4 linked regions of the Arabidopsis thaliana genome follow. The protein of the gene in region 3 interacts with the protein of the main gene of each other region in a pairwise test. Each region holds a gene or a part of one and is shown on either strand. Other genes may lie near its edges.

Region 1 (3,116 bases), 3.5 Mb from region 3:
AGGGACTATCACAAGATAAAGGTCAAGAGGAGAGGGAAGTTGCTGCAGAGTGCAGACATTATGGTAGGGAAGGAATCATCATCACAAGACAAAAAATAACAGTAGTGTGAAGAGTCACCTGCACAATTTATCTTTAAGCTTGCAAACATTAGTGTCCAAACACCACCCCCACCCCCCCCCCCACCCCACCCCCACACACTGTTCTCATGTTTACTGAAACTGTAATGCTTATGTTGTTCCGTTTAATAAACATGCGATGATTATTATTTCTTAGAACAGAGAATCACTGAAACAGGTTTGAAAAGAGAGGATGTTATATCTGTGAATAGAAAAGACAAAGACAAAGTGGAGGAATCAGAACTCAGCCACGGTTATTGCTCTGTTGAGAGTCTATTGGAAATTTGGCTTTATTATGATAGAGAGCAATCAGAAATAGATAAAATTGGCTTTTAGTAATTAATGTTTCTAGGGATGATGATTCAAATTTATTACAATAGCTGAATACAGATCAACAACAACACATCAAATTGATTCAAGATGTTCTTAATAAATCATAAGAATTTAACAAAAGCCTGCATAACCGTAACCGTAAAGTTCATTCTGCATTAACTGATTCAACCAGGGGTTCTTCACAGATTCTTCTACCGCCGAGTAATGTTGTGTGTTTGAGACGCAAGGATTTTGAAAGCTGTTGCTATTGATGTTACCCATAGACATGTTTTGATCACAACCATAAAACTCCTTGTACATCAATTGATTCAACCCAAAGTTGTTGACAGATTCTTGTACCGCTTCTTTGTTTGAGACGCAAGGATCTTGAAATTTGTTGTTTGTGATGTCACCCATGCTCATGTTCTGATTCTGATCATAACCACAAATCTCCGGCTTCATTAACTGATTCTTCAACTCAGATTCTTCAAGTAACGCTGAGAAATAATCCTGATTGAAATTTGATGCAGAGACTGGGATCTGAGACAGAGTATTGTCTCCATGGTTATACATAAACAGCGAGAACTGGCTAGGGTTCAAAGATTGGGTGTAATGATTCAGAGAGGATGGTGTTAAACTCTGATGATCCGGTTTTGTCTGATTCTGTTTCTGCGACTCAAGAAATCGAAGCCTTTCTTGGAATTTAGAGACATGGAGTTCCAAGGACTGAATCAGTGGAGAAACTTGGTCGGGAGGGTAATGATCAGCGAGTGGATACTTTAAAATATTCACGTTCTTAAGACTCGTCTTCATCTTCTTGTTCGGATTCTTCAAACCCTTGTTCTTCTTCTTGTTCAGGAACCCATGAAGATTAACGCTTTTCTTGCGTCTCAATGCTTCGTTCAATAGACTATACCTAAGAGCAATGTCTCTCACTTTCTCTTTCTCCTTAGGCCATGTCTTAAGTTCTCCGTCTGGTCCGTAATAGATAACGCAGGCTTCGATATCACAAAGAGTGCAAAGCTCTGAAGCTTTCTTGAAGATGGTCTCAAGCCTATTGCTCAAACTTGTGAAAGCGAGTGAATAAGAAGAAGAGGACGAAGGTGAAGATGATCGCATAGTCATCTTCTTGTTGATTGCAAAGACAAACTCTGTGTTTTTTCACGCTCAAAGTTAAGAGAAAGCACGAAGACAAACTTTGGCTTTGTGAAAAAGATGATGAACTATGAAATAGTTAGAAAGAATTAGATATATTTATAGATGATCGGTGATAAAAAAACGCGTAAAGATGTGTGCATAGATAGATTCGTTTCGATTTCCATATATTTGCATAGATTCGATTTCCATAGATTTTACGTTCTAGAGCCGTTAAGGGTTGATAAAAAGGAAACACAACTATAATTTGATATCATTAACCCTTGATATGATCTAGTTTGGTTTGGTTAATACTAGTCTTCAAATTCTAGCTCTAATCAGATAGTATTTTATACATCTACGCAATTATTTGGGCCTTGTGAGGCCCATTTAAAATTATGGACAAAAAGCGACGTCGTCTCGGATCTGACCTAGGTTTTTGTTTACACTCTTCTTCTTCTCTCCATCTCTCAGTCTCTTCGTTAAACCCACCCACATTTGAAGCGGCAAATAACGAAAACCATGGATCCGAAACCAACCTCGATGTGGAGCTCAATTGTGAAGAAAGATCCACCTTCAAAGCCTCCGGTTAACGACGGAGCTCCGGCAGCGATTCTCGGGATGGTCGGAAACTGCAAATCCACAAAAGGAATATCTATTGCGGTTGTTGACGCCAACGCCATCATTGAAGGACGTCAGAGCTTAACAAACTTCGCCGACAAATTCGTAACTGTCCCTGAGGTTCTCTCTGAGATTCGTGACCCTGCTTCTCGCCGTCGTCTCGCTTTCATCCCTTTCACTATTGATACCATGGAACCTTCTCCTGAATCTCTAAGTAAAGGTACACTTATTAGTTTTGTGATTCTTATTCTTGTGATTGTGAAATTTGTACCTAAGTAGGTATTTGTATATTCTTGTGTTGGAGAAAAGATTGTATTGTATCTCTGAGATTGATTGTTTTTGGTTCTGCAGTTATCAAATTTGCAAGAGCTACTGGTGATTTGCAATCTCTGTCTGATGTTGATCTGAAGTTGATTGCTTTGTCATACACGCTTGAGGCTCAGGTTTATGGCACCAAAAATCTTAGAGATGTTCCTCCACCGATTCAAACTGTTAGAGTTAAGAGATTACCTGAGAAGGATTTACCTGGTTGGGGCTCCAATGTGGCTAACTTGGAGGAGTGGGAGGCACTTGAAAACGAGACTGAGGAAAAATCCAACGCTAACTCCAAAATCCTTCCATTGAAAGACCTTAACATGAATATTATTGCTTCAGACAATGTTTCTGAGGTTGGTTCTGTTGTCTCTCATACTGAGAATCATGAAGAGGATGTGCAGGAAGGTGGGAAGAAGCATAGGCGATACCCGCCCAAGAAAACAGAGATTAAGCTTGAGGGTAAGATGGTAGTGGAGGGAGTTGATGCATCCCAGGGGCAATATGATGATGATGATGATGCTAGTGATTGGAGACCCGCAGTCAGTAGAAGTACTCACTCAAAGTATCTTAGAAGAAAGGCAAGGTGGGAACATTACAATGCTTTGGCTGAACAAGAA
Region 2 (3,152 bases), about 11 Mb from region 3:
TCCTACACCACCACCAGTTGCAAGCAAAGTTGCTTGGAAAGGGCACCACGCAAGAGCTCTCACTGCAGCTGTATGTTCCTCAAACCTATGCAGCCATTGCCTAGTTGGTTTTGAGGAAGCGACAGAACGATGATCCCATATGTGTACTACATTGTAGTTACCACCACTTGCTAGTTTTTTTCCAGATTCTGACCACTTAAGACCACAAACCTCTTCAGTGTGACCCAAGTAAGTTCCAACAATGGAAGATCTGATCCTCACATCATTGTTGACGATCTTTCCATCCATTCCTCCAGTTGTTAGAATGTGATTGTTCCATGCCAATGATCCTACTCTTGACTCGTGACCACCTATCAATGTTCTCACTTGACGATTGGAAACAAAATCCCAAAGCTGGACTTCACTGTTGTCAAGACCAACTGCCAGATCAAGACCATCTTGCGTCCAGTTAATACTTGTGACAGGTCCCTTGTCTTCATCAATAGTCACAAGCTCAGACGTAGAGCCACTGGAAGCATCCCACAAGTAAACGGTGTCTCCCAAAGCAATGGCTAAGACGTTAGCACTGCCCCAGTCCAACAAGTTAAGGTAGAAGTCATCCATAAGACCAGGTGCATCCAAGACTCTCTCACTATTCTGAGGAATGTATCTACGAGGCTTTACGGATTTAGGGTTTTGGTGAGGAGAATCAGAGTGATTGCTAGAAAGCAGAGCTTTAGGTTTGTTTCTGAAAGCAAGAATACGGGTGCGATTCTGATTCATAACCACAGCCAATTGCGTCATGTAGGCTTTTCTTGATGCTGAAGTTATCTCATCGACATTACGTTTTCTTCCTTGGGTAAGAGCGTAGTTAGCAAAATCGAAATCCATGGCGGATCTGTTTGGGATGAATCTGTCCAAGTTTTGCTTGGAAAGTTTCCTCGGAAGAAAGTGGTCTGGAACTGTACACGTATCCGAATCCATTACAACGAAACAGAAGGAATTAAACGAAATTAGAGAAAGGGGACTAATCAAATAAAAGCTTGCAGAGAAGAGAAGTAAGCGTTAGTAAACAAGTTAGAGAAAGAGACAACGACTAATCAAATATATTCGAGCAGAGAGAGCGAAGAGAGCGAAGAGTTTTGTTTAGCCGCTGAGAGGGAAGCGAATGATGAAGAACATATATTGAAAATAGTGGAATCAATTTAGTTTTTTTTTTGTTGCTGTCCTTAAATTATATAGAAAATGTTTACTACAACGGTTAGATTGATATTTGTAAAATCGGATCTAATTTATATTTCCTCTATGATATCAAACATACAAAGGATTTTTATTAGACGTGATCAAAATAAAAAAAAGAAGAAGAAGGATTTTTACTACAATTATTGAAAAACCCCAACGGTTAGATTAATATCAGAACCGTGTTACACAATTATCAGATTTTATTTTCTCTCTGATAAGCTACTTCTTTCTTTTTTTTTTTTCTTTTTTTTTGTGTAAACAACAATTAAGGGTTTTTGCTTACCTTAATTAATTATTTAATTATTACCTTACAACGGTTAGAAATCGGATCTGATTTTAGATTACATCATTAAATGAAGAAACGATATGGAAATCGATCGAATTTAACAAATTCTATATAACCCTCTCAACTTTCACTGAATTATATCGTTCAGAGTTTATTTTCTCTTTGAGAAATAACTGAAAGCTTCTTTTTCTTTCTTTCTCTGTGTAAACAAACATCACAATGGATTCTTCAACGTCTACGAAGAAGAATACCAAATTGTTTGTAAGAAACCAAACTTGTTTCAAGAAATCGTCTCTGTCTTCTTCCAATGCAAAAAAGACCACGAATTTGTCGATGAGAGAACAGACCATGTTTAAGAAAGCCTTGGAGCTTTCGACTCTGTGCGACATCGAAGTCTGTGTCATATACTATGGTCGTGACGGAAAACTCATCAAGACATGGCCGGAAGATCAATCTAAGGTTCGAGACATGGCAGAGAGGTTTAGCAGATTACACGAGAGAGAACGATGCAAAAAAAGAACCAACCTTTCTCTGTTTCTACGTAAGCAGATCCTCCACGACAAGAAATTGTCGGAGAAAGTCTTAGAGATGGAGGATTCGTTAGAAAGTGGTCTACGGGTACTACAAGATAAGCTTCTGTTACTCCAACCCGAGAAAAACCAGACCGAGTTAGGTCAGAGCTGTGCGGTTTATTCCACAACGTATCCATTGTCTTCTCCTTCGCTGATTGAGGATCATCAACATCAACAACAATGGACAGAACCATTGTCAAACACAGAGTAAGACCTATCAACGTCATCATTGAGTCAACATGAGAGCAAATTTTCAGTCTTTCCCTATAACCATGATGATTGTAGCTTCTGTCAAATCCCTAACTCTGTTTCTAGCTTTGAGCAATCGACTTTACTTGGGGAACAAGGATCTGGTCTAGGAAGTAACTCTGATCTTCCTCCCATGGTGTTTACTCCTCAGATGCAGACACAAACCCCACTTGTCCCCTTTGATCAGTTTGCGCCATGGAATCAAGCACCATCGTTTGCAGATCCAATGATGTTCTCTTATAATTAGGTCTTGTTGTTCCAAGATCTGTTCTTTGACTTGGTCAACGTTCTGTTATTTTCTATTATATATTCTCAGTTTAGGTTATGAGTTTAATTTGTATGTTTTCTAAGTATGTATGAATGCTATTTTTTCAAGTTTTAAAAAAAGTCTTGGCTTCTTCTATATTTGTATGAGTCTACAATTTGAGTTTGAAAACCTGCTTTATTAAGATCTTTAATATACAATAGACATTGAAATGAATGCTAGATGTACATAATTTATGCAGATAAGCCAACTAATTGAGTAATTGAGCTTGTCTCGGTGTGATCTTCAGTTTAATTTTACGAATCGATTTAATGGAAGAGAAGATAATAGGATAAGCAAATTACTGCAGCTTCCGACAAAAGATGATGTCAAAAGTAGTGTTTTGTCCAAGAGGTGGAGAAACTCTGGCTTCGTTGAATTTAGATTCCAATGAATTTCCAGATTACAATGCCTTAGTGAGTTTTGCTGATAGGTCTTTAGATTCCTCTAAGGATTCATGCTTGTACAAGCTCAGGTAAAGTGTGTCCGGAGGATTGAGAATGAACAGTTTTGTGTCAGT
Region 3 (4,063 bases):
TTTCTTGTGGAAAGAAGTCGGTATGAAGCAGCAATACAGAGGAACTGGACTTGCAGGGACAAGTGTAAAGTTTGGTGGAGAGACGAAGGCGAAGAAGATGGTAGTTGGTGGGAAGGACGGATTCTAGCTGTGAAACCCAAATCACCTGATTTTCCTGATAGTCCGTGGGAGAGGTACACAGTTAAGTACAAGAGTGACCCTGCCGAGACACATCTTCACAGTCCCTGGGAGCTTTTTGATGCAGATACCAAGTGGGAGCAGCCTCACATTGATGATGAGCAACGAAACCGTTTGCTCTCGGCCTTAACAAAGTTAGAGACTTCAGACAAGAGAACCCAGGTATGTGATCCTAATGAATATAATATCTCATGGTGTTAAATCTAGCCTATCCTCCCCACCAAATTCAGACTTCACCCAAAGAGCTTAGGCCCATGTTTACATTAGCTTAGTTGGTTTATAGATCACATTCTAAAGCTTAGTGGATTAAGACACAACATTATCCCAAGAACTAACAATATTGATATAATGTGGGCTAATTTGTTTCAGGATTCTTTTGGCCTCCGAAAACTGAACCAGACCGTGGGAAATTCCAGCTACTCCAACAGGTAAATTTCTACAACCCTGGAAGAGTCTTTGGTGGAGCCAAAGCTGACATGGTTTTGTTCTATGGATTCATTCTGCAGGTTCCCAGTTCCTTTGTCTCTTGAAGTAATCAGATCAAGGCTTGAGAACAACTATTACCGAAGTGTGGAAGCATTACGACACGACGTATCAGTTATGTTGTCCAATGCAGAGACTTTCTTTGGTCGAAATAAAAGTGTAGCAGCCAAAATCTCAAATCTCTCTAACTGGTTCGACCGGACGCTACCTTCTTCGTAGCTTATCATCGCGCCTATGTAGATAAACTGATGTTTTTTTTTCTCATGTTTCCAAATTATTTAGTTAGGTTTCCTGCAATTCTTTAAAAACTCTGGTTCTAATGGCAGAAGAGAATTTTAGGGGATTTTTTTTCCTTCAGTTAGAAAATTTTAGGTTTAGGGTTTAGTTGGAGATAATCTTTTTCTTTTTGAAATTGTATGTAAAGAGAAATTGGAGGAGAGGTCAAAAACGTTTGATGCTTTGGAATCATCTTCTGTTGACTGACCAACCCCAAATTTGAGAATCATTTCTTTTTCTGCTAATGGTACAACAACAGATGAAATTGTTGACATTACATGTGCAAATATCCAGTCTACAATAGATGATCAAGACAAAAACAGTATAATTGCAAATATTTTTGACAAAAAATTGATGAATACTAAGAAACAACGTTTTTATAGAAAGTCTGGACGATTTGGTTGCTCTAGACAGTGGTAGTAAACTGAGTGATAGATATTGCTAGGTGTTTTTGAAACACTGTCAAGGTTAAGCTCCAATGAAATCAGTCAGTGATTATATGTTGATGACCCTCTCTCAAGGTTTGTTCTATAGTCACCAATTACAATTGTTTCTTCTTGGTATTGATATTTTGAGTTTTGTGTGTTTAGGATAGCTGATAGGCTTTTTTGTTAGTTTTATTTGATGGACTATTGTTTTTCAGTAGGTCTTTAACAAAGTTTTCTTCTGCTACCAGGTCACCTTTGTCAACTCCATAGCCACATTTTAAGGAGTGAAGAACCAGAAAGAATGAACACGATAATGTGAAGAACCAGCTATATATTTGTTTGTCTCTCTCATAATAATCTGACAAAATTTTTTTTGTAGAATCTAGCAAAATAATATTTTTTGAAAAATAAAAATATCTCCAAATAAATCTGAATCATAATACAATAACTAAAAATTATCAAAATAAAAATAAATAAGACTGCACTAAAAAAGGATTCTGGTGGATAGTTGGGCTTAGCCCATACAAGATTACGGTCCATGTGGTTTAATCGGTTTAGGTGGATGATATTGATATGGGGTTTCGATATTTCCCTTATATATATGAGACTGAGAGATAGAAGAAGCCTTCACTTTTCAATTATCTTTCTCCACACTCAACAAAATTGAGAAAAATCAATCAGAATGGTGAAAAAAGGTGGCACGAAGAGGAAGATTGCGATTGAGACGATACAGAAGAGAGATTCCCTTAGGGTTACCTGCACCAAACGCCGTGAAGGTCTCTATAGCAAAGCCTCTCAGCTTTGTCTTCTCTCAGACGCACAGATCGCTATCTTAGCGACTCCTCCTTCTTCTGAATCCAACGTATCCTTCTACTCTTTCGGTCACTCCTCTGTTGATGCCGTTGTCTCTGCTTTTCTCTCCGGACAACGTCCTGTTCCGAAGGATAACAAAGAGACGAGGGAGGACGTTGGTATCTGTTTGACTCGCAATAATCTAGGGTTAGGTTTTTGGTGGAACGACGAGAGCCTTGCCAGATCGGAGAATCCTCAAGAGATTAGTGAAGCGATCGACTCTATGCGGACGCTGTTGAGGAATCTCAAGGAATTGCGTGCGGATGAAGCTTTAGCCTGTAATCAAGCTTTCGTTAATGATCGCGAGGACCTGAAGAACAACGACAAGTGCGATTTTGTTTCAGACCACGAAACTCATGATCAAACCCTAATTCTTCAGTCCGCTTCTCCAATTTGTTGCATCCCAGAAAATCTCAACGAGATTACTCAAGAGCCAAATCAAACCCTAAATATTCAGTCGAGTACTTCTGCAATTTGTTGCGTCCCTGATAATTCACCTGAAAATTTCAATGAGATCACTGAAGAACAAGATCAGATTCGCTCGATTTGTGAAACTTTTTGTGTTATGGATAACAACGCTGCTTTACCTGAAATGAACCTGGATTACGATCAAGACATTGGCTTCGACACGCCTTTTGAGAGCGCGCTAAATGATTGGTTTTCGGACAACACTACTCATCAGGAGATTAGTGCAAGTATTTTGAACGCTGTTGTTGATGATCAAGTCTCGGTGGATCTAACTCCGTTTTCTTATTTTCAGAGATGTTTGGATGGAGATAATCTACGATTCTCTGATTGTTTCAAAGACTTTGCAAACACTATTTCAGCACTTTGAAGATAATTTCTCTGCAGTTTTCAAACTAACTTCTAGTTACTTCTTTATTATATGTATGTATTGATTCTGCTAATTTTGGTTACAGATATGTTTTAGCAATGTAATGAATGAAAGGGTCTGGTTTGACCTCGATCAGTTTTCCATACATATATGTATGAGGGAAATTGATCGAAATCAAACTGGTTCTCTGCTTCATCAGTTTGGTTTAATGATAATATTTGTCTTCTGTTTCTATGTTTTGTATTTGTAGTTTCAAGTCCAAACTCATGCGATGAGAACATGACCAAGGCAACCAAACCACTTGAACCACAAAAAGACGAGAAGCAGCTTGTACCGGAGGAAGCATTAATCGTTCTGGCGGGTCCTCTAACAAGATCAAAATCTAAGAAGTTCAACCAAGCTATCAATGGACTACTCAAGGAGCTAAAGAAGAATCAAGAAGACGTGACTCAATCCTCCTTCATAGTGATCACGGCTCAAGAGGCTCGGTAAAGGGTTAAGTGTTGCTTATGCATTCTTTTTCCCTTATCAAGTTTTGTCCCAATGGGTTTTCTTGACAAGGTTTTTAATGAGGCCTAAGGAACACTTTCAAGCCTCCCTTTATCAGCTCAATTCGTGGTCCAAGGCCCACTCACAATGCCGTGGCCCATTTTCTATTTTCTCTTCAAACTTTGCATTTATTGTTTTTGTTATTTCCAAAACTCTTTGCATGAGTGTGTACTTGTGCATGCTCTTGCATGTCTTTCTTCTCTCACCTCTTCCCCTTCTTCCTCCTCTCCTATATAAACTCATTGTAGTTCTCATTTGTAATCATCAAACATTTTAATCAAAAACTTTCTCTTTCACTTGTTTGATCTGAAAAGTGTGTAGTATCTTTTCAACTTGTTTTCTTCTTAGTGTGTAATATCTAAGTTGGATCCAAGCTCGTAGTCTAAGAGTCTTTCATCACTCTTGGAAGTACAATTCGTTCCCCTTTCATTCCGCTGCATCCACTCGATCTCGTCGCCATCCC
Region 4 (3,567 bases), on a different chromosome or scaffold from region 3:
GTTTTCCGGGTTATCGGGTCGGGTTAAATTCTTTACGTCTCCTTTCGAGAAACCCATGACGATCACGAATACTATAAATGCAATGTGTAACGCCGTTAATACCATATTCACCTTCGAACTCTCTCTCGTACTGTAACAGATGACGAACGTGACGGCGAGGACGACGATAACGGCGATGGGATCGATTTCGTTGAATCCGTTTGGGAGACCGGAGACGATGAATCTCCACTCCGATGTTGAGATTCCGAATGCAGATCCGAGATAAGCGGTGAATCCTCTTGAAACGGCGGCGTTTGACAGTACGTAGTCCATTATCAGATTTGCTCCGGTTATAAACGCCGGAAACTCGCCTGTAACGGAAAAAAATGAATGATCGGAGAGGAAAAAATGAAATTTGAATTTCTCTGCGATTTGGGAGTTTTGATTTTGGCGGGAGAATGTTACTGACCGAATGTGATACGGATGTAGCTGAAAGCACCGCCGGCGACGGGGAGGTGAACGGCGAACTCGGTGTAACAGAAGGCGGAGAGTAGAGCACAGAGTCCGGCGATTGCGTAAGAGACGACGATTGATGGACCAGCGTAGAGACGACTAGCACGGCCGGTGGTGACGAAGACTCCGGCTCCGATCATTCCACCGATTCCGAGTCCGATGAGATCGTACCAACGGAGAGTACGACGCATCTGCTCGCCGGAGACGGCGCGGACGCGGCTCATCTCGTCGTAAGAGGTGGAAACGGAAACGGCTCGGCGGGAAAAACGGGAGGGAGTGTCGGAGAGAGAGTTGAGGTAGACACGGAGGCTAGAGAAAGAGGTGTCTCCGTCGTGGTTCCGGTATTGGGCCTCCATTTCGGGTCGGGTCAATATGTAACGGATTATAATGTTTTTGAGAGTAATTTGAAACAAGTGGTTTTATAATGTGAGATTGCAAAAGACTGAGAGACGAAAAAAAGAATTAGACGCTTTTTGGTGTAATTTATTACAAGCTTTGGAAACGCTAATTATTATTATTATTTTGGTCAACTTAGTTTTATTATATTAAAGTAGCTTCTATTTTTTTGTATTCATAATGATCAGTGATCACATAAGCATCGACTAAAATAAATAAATCACGTAAGCATTAACACAAATATTCTATAATCTGTTCGGTCTCCCAATTTTTATTATTTGAGTTTAGACGGCAAATATTTAATTCCTAGTATAAATAATGAATGCTTATTTTTCCTTGGACAATGGTCGATAATAATCACAACTTGTTTGTTTAACGAATGCAACCAACGAACATGGATAAAAATGTTACTCTTTTAAGTATCAGAGTGACCAACCAGTAACCGGGATCGTTGCAATCCGTCGCAATATTCACAACTTGGTGAATAATTATGATTGATTATTTTCCTTTTCGTGTGAAGAGAGTTTGAAAAAATAAACAATTTTTTGTTTCTTTCATGTTAATGAAAGTTCTTAATTTCTAAAGTTTTGACTATTTATTTTATTTGTGTGGTATTAGGTCTATAATCTTTTGTATGTTAAATTTTTAATTTTTAACACGTGTGAAAACATAAATTTGTTTATACACGTGTTATAATCTAATTGGCTGTAACACGTATCATAATTCTGATTGCTAACACGTGTGAAAATAAAAATTTATTTGTACACGTATCATAATCTAATTGGCTAAAATCGTCAATATTATAAAACAAATTTAATAAAAAGGATATAGGAAACTAAATGAATGACAATAAATCAGTAGAAAGAAATAAAATAAAGACTTTGTATGCAATATAGCAAAATCTGAAATAAAATTTACCCTTTGAATATAAGAAAAAGGAAGGAAACTTAATACACCCCAATTTGAGAGAAGAGAAGCCATATATTTTTTGTTACTTGAGTTGATTTATAAGCTGCCATATCCCTTACATGAGTTATTATATATACTGTAGTTCTCCAGATTCACACCATTCTGTTTTGTAGACTTCATTTTCCTTAATTTGTTTTGGGAATCATGGCTGAAAATTCATGGACGACAGAGGAGAACGAGATGTTCAAGGATGCACTGGTGATGTTCACTGCCTTTTTGCTTACTCGGTTTGAGAGTGTCGCCGAGTATGTGGATAGATCGGTGGATGATGTTAAGGAGCATTACAAGGAATTGGTCAATGATCTTTTAGAGATGGGATCCAGTCGAGTAGCTTTTCCTAATGAATTGACTAAGGATATGGCTCAAAGTTCGTACCAGGCCGAGAGAACTATATGGACCAAAGAAACACATGAGTAAGTATATAAGATTAATGAGTGATGAGTTATGATTTTTGTTAGTTAGTGGAATTTACATACACGTATAAGTTTCAATTATAAACATAATGATTGATTAGTACTGGTATTGGTTTGTGGATCTAGCTAGACGCATTCTCCTCTTAGACTCCATAATTCACATAGTTCATTTCTGAGATTAAAATGTATTTAGTCCTATGATCTTACGATTTACACATTCTAGCATTATTTTTTTAATGTGGACAATATAGTTTTTTTTTTTTTTTCATTTGACTCAATTTATATCGTTAACTAATAATGCCATGGTGAAACTTGATTAAAATGGGCTGATCTATGAACTGGTGGAAATTGTAATGCAGATGGTTTCTGATTGGGTTAGACCGATTTGGGAAAGATTGGCGTAAAATAGCCGTCTTATTGGATTGCAAGAGCCCGATCCAAGTCGAGATATATGCAGAAAACTTTTACCAGTGGCAAAGCTCAAAGAAAAATGTGATTAACGACTTAAATGTGGCAAGCACCGATGTGAATGTGATGAAACGGCAGGGAGCAAATAACACCAATGTGGACTCAACAGGCCAACAAGAGAGTCTCGTCGCTCTGGAAATCGGTCACCATGCTAAGGCCCCCAACTCAAAGTGATATAAATCTCTATGACTGTATTAACAACCAAAAAATAAAAAGCCTAAAGATATTGAAGGCCCTTGATTATTTTTTTTGTGTGGTATGTTAAAGATTTGGGATTTCCATTTTTTTGGCAAACCATATTTTATTTAATTTTGTGGTCATCTATATTATTTTCTTTAACCATTAAAATAATATATATTTCAATGTTTTTATTTTTTGCTTTATTTCATCTAGGCTAAACAGAAGATACACGTAAGATGGAGCTTTCAAGTTAAGTACGTAGTATATATAAAGTTGGGGTTAAATAGGAAACTAAAATAACTTGAAATTACACTCCAAGTTTTACCCACTGCGTACGTCTAAACGTAAACGAGAAGAAAACTTCTGAGTCAAGTTGTGCGTGTTTAAATACGAAATCGTGTTTCTTTTTGTAAAGTGAGGGCTAATTTTGTAATTTTCACCCATTACTTGATCCTCTATAAATTGTCAGGTTGCCAAAATTAAAACGAACAAACAATCGCTCTTCCGTAACATATTCCACAAAACGATCTTCTTGTTTCTTGAATTTTTAGCCATCTCTTTTTTTTTTTCTCATTTTCTCGGATACTATGGCTTCGAGTCCACGCTGGACGGAGGACGACAACAGGCGTTTTAAGTCAGCTCTGTCGCA

Evidence for each region.
Region 1: the proteins of AT5G49420 (region 3) and AGL75 interact in a two-hybrid assay, tested with the Arabidopsis thaliana proteins (one large-scale study listed by BioGRID).
Region 2: the proteins of AT5G49420 (region 3) and AGL54 interact in a two-hybrid assay, tested with the Arabidopsis thaliana proteins (one large-scale study listed by BioGRID).
Region 4: the proteins of AT5G49420 (region 3) and AT3G10595 interact in a two-hybrid assay, tested with the Arabidopsis thaliana proteins (one large-scale study listed by BioGRID).

What each region holds. Positions count from the first base shown.
Region 1 is NC_003076.8:16,488,982-16,492,097, reverse strand, and holds AGL75 (AGAMOUS-like 75), read right to left. Parts: upstream 1,555-3,116; coding exon 562-1,554; downstream 1-561. Other genes in the region: AT5G41190 (RNA-binding NOB1-like protein), read left to right, coding at 2,086-2,404, 2,536-3,116. UniProt on the Arabidopsis thaliana protein: Probable transcription factor that may function in the maintenance of the proper function of the central cell in pollen tube attraction.
Region 2 is NC_003076.8:9,530,119-9,533,270, forward strand, and holds AGL54 (AGAMOUS-like 54), read left to right. Parts: upstream 1-1,621; 5' UTR 1,622-1,726; coding exon 1,727-2,290; 3' UTR 2,291-2,579; downstream 2,580-3,152. Other genes in the region: CDC20.3 (cell division cycle 20.2, cofactor of APC complex-like protein), read right to left, coding at 1-963.
Region 3 is NC_003076.8:20,034,154-20,038,216, reverse strand, and holds AT5G49420 (MADS-box transcription factor family protein), read left to right. Parts: upstream 1-2,011; 5' UTR 2,012-2,046; coding exon 2,047-3,051; 3' UTR 3,052-3,104; intron 3,105-3,301; 3' UTR 3,302-3,545; downstream 3,546-4,063. Other genes in the region: AT5G49430 (WD40/YVTN repeat and Bromo-WDR9-I-like domain-containing protein), read left to right, coding at 1-339, 547-605, 684-879.
Region 4 is NC_003074.8:3,311,250-3,314,816, reverse strand, and holds AT3G10595 (Duplicated homeodomain-like superfamily protein), read left to right. Parts: upstream 1-1,985; 5' UTR 1,986-2,001; coding exon 2,002-2,270; intron 2,271-2,629; coding exon 2,630-2,912; 3' UTR 2,913-3,032; downstream 3,033-3,567. Other genes in the region: CAT7 (cationic amino acid transporter 7), read right to left, coding at 1-350, 449-848; AT3G10590 (Duplicated homeodomain-like superfamily protein), read left to right, coding at 3,506-3,567.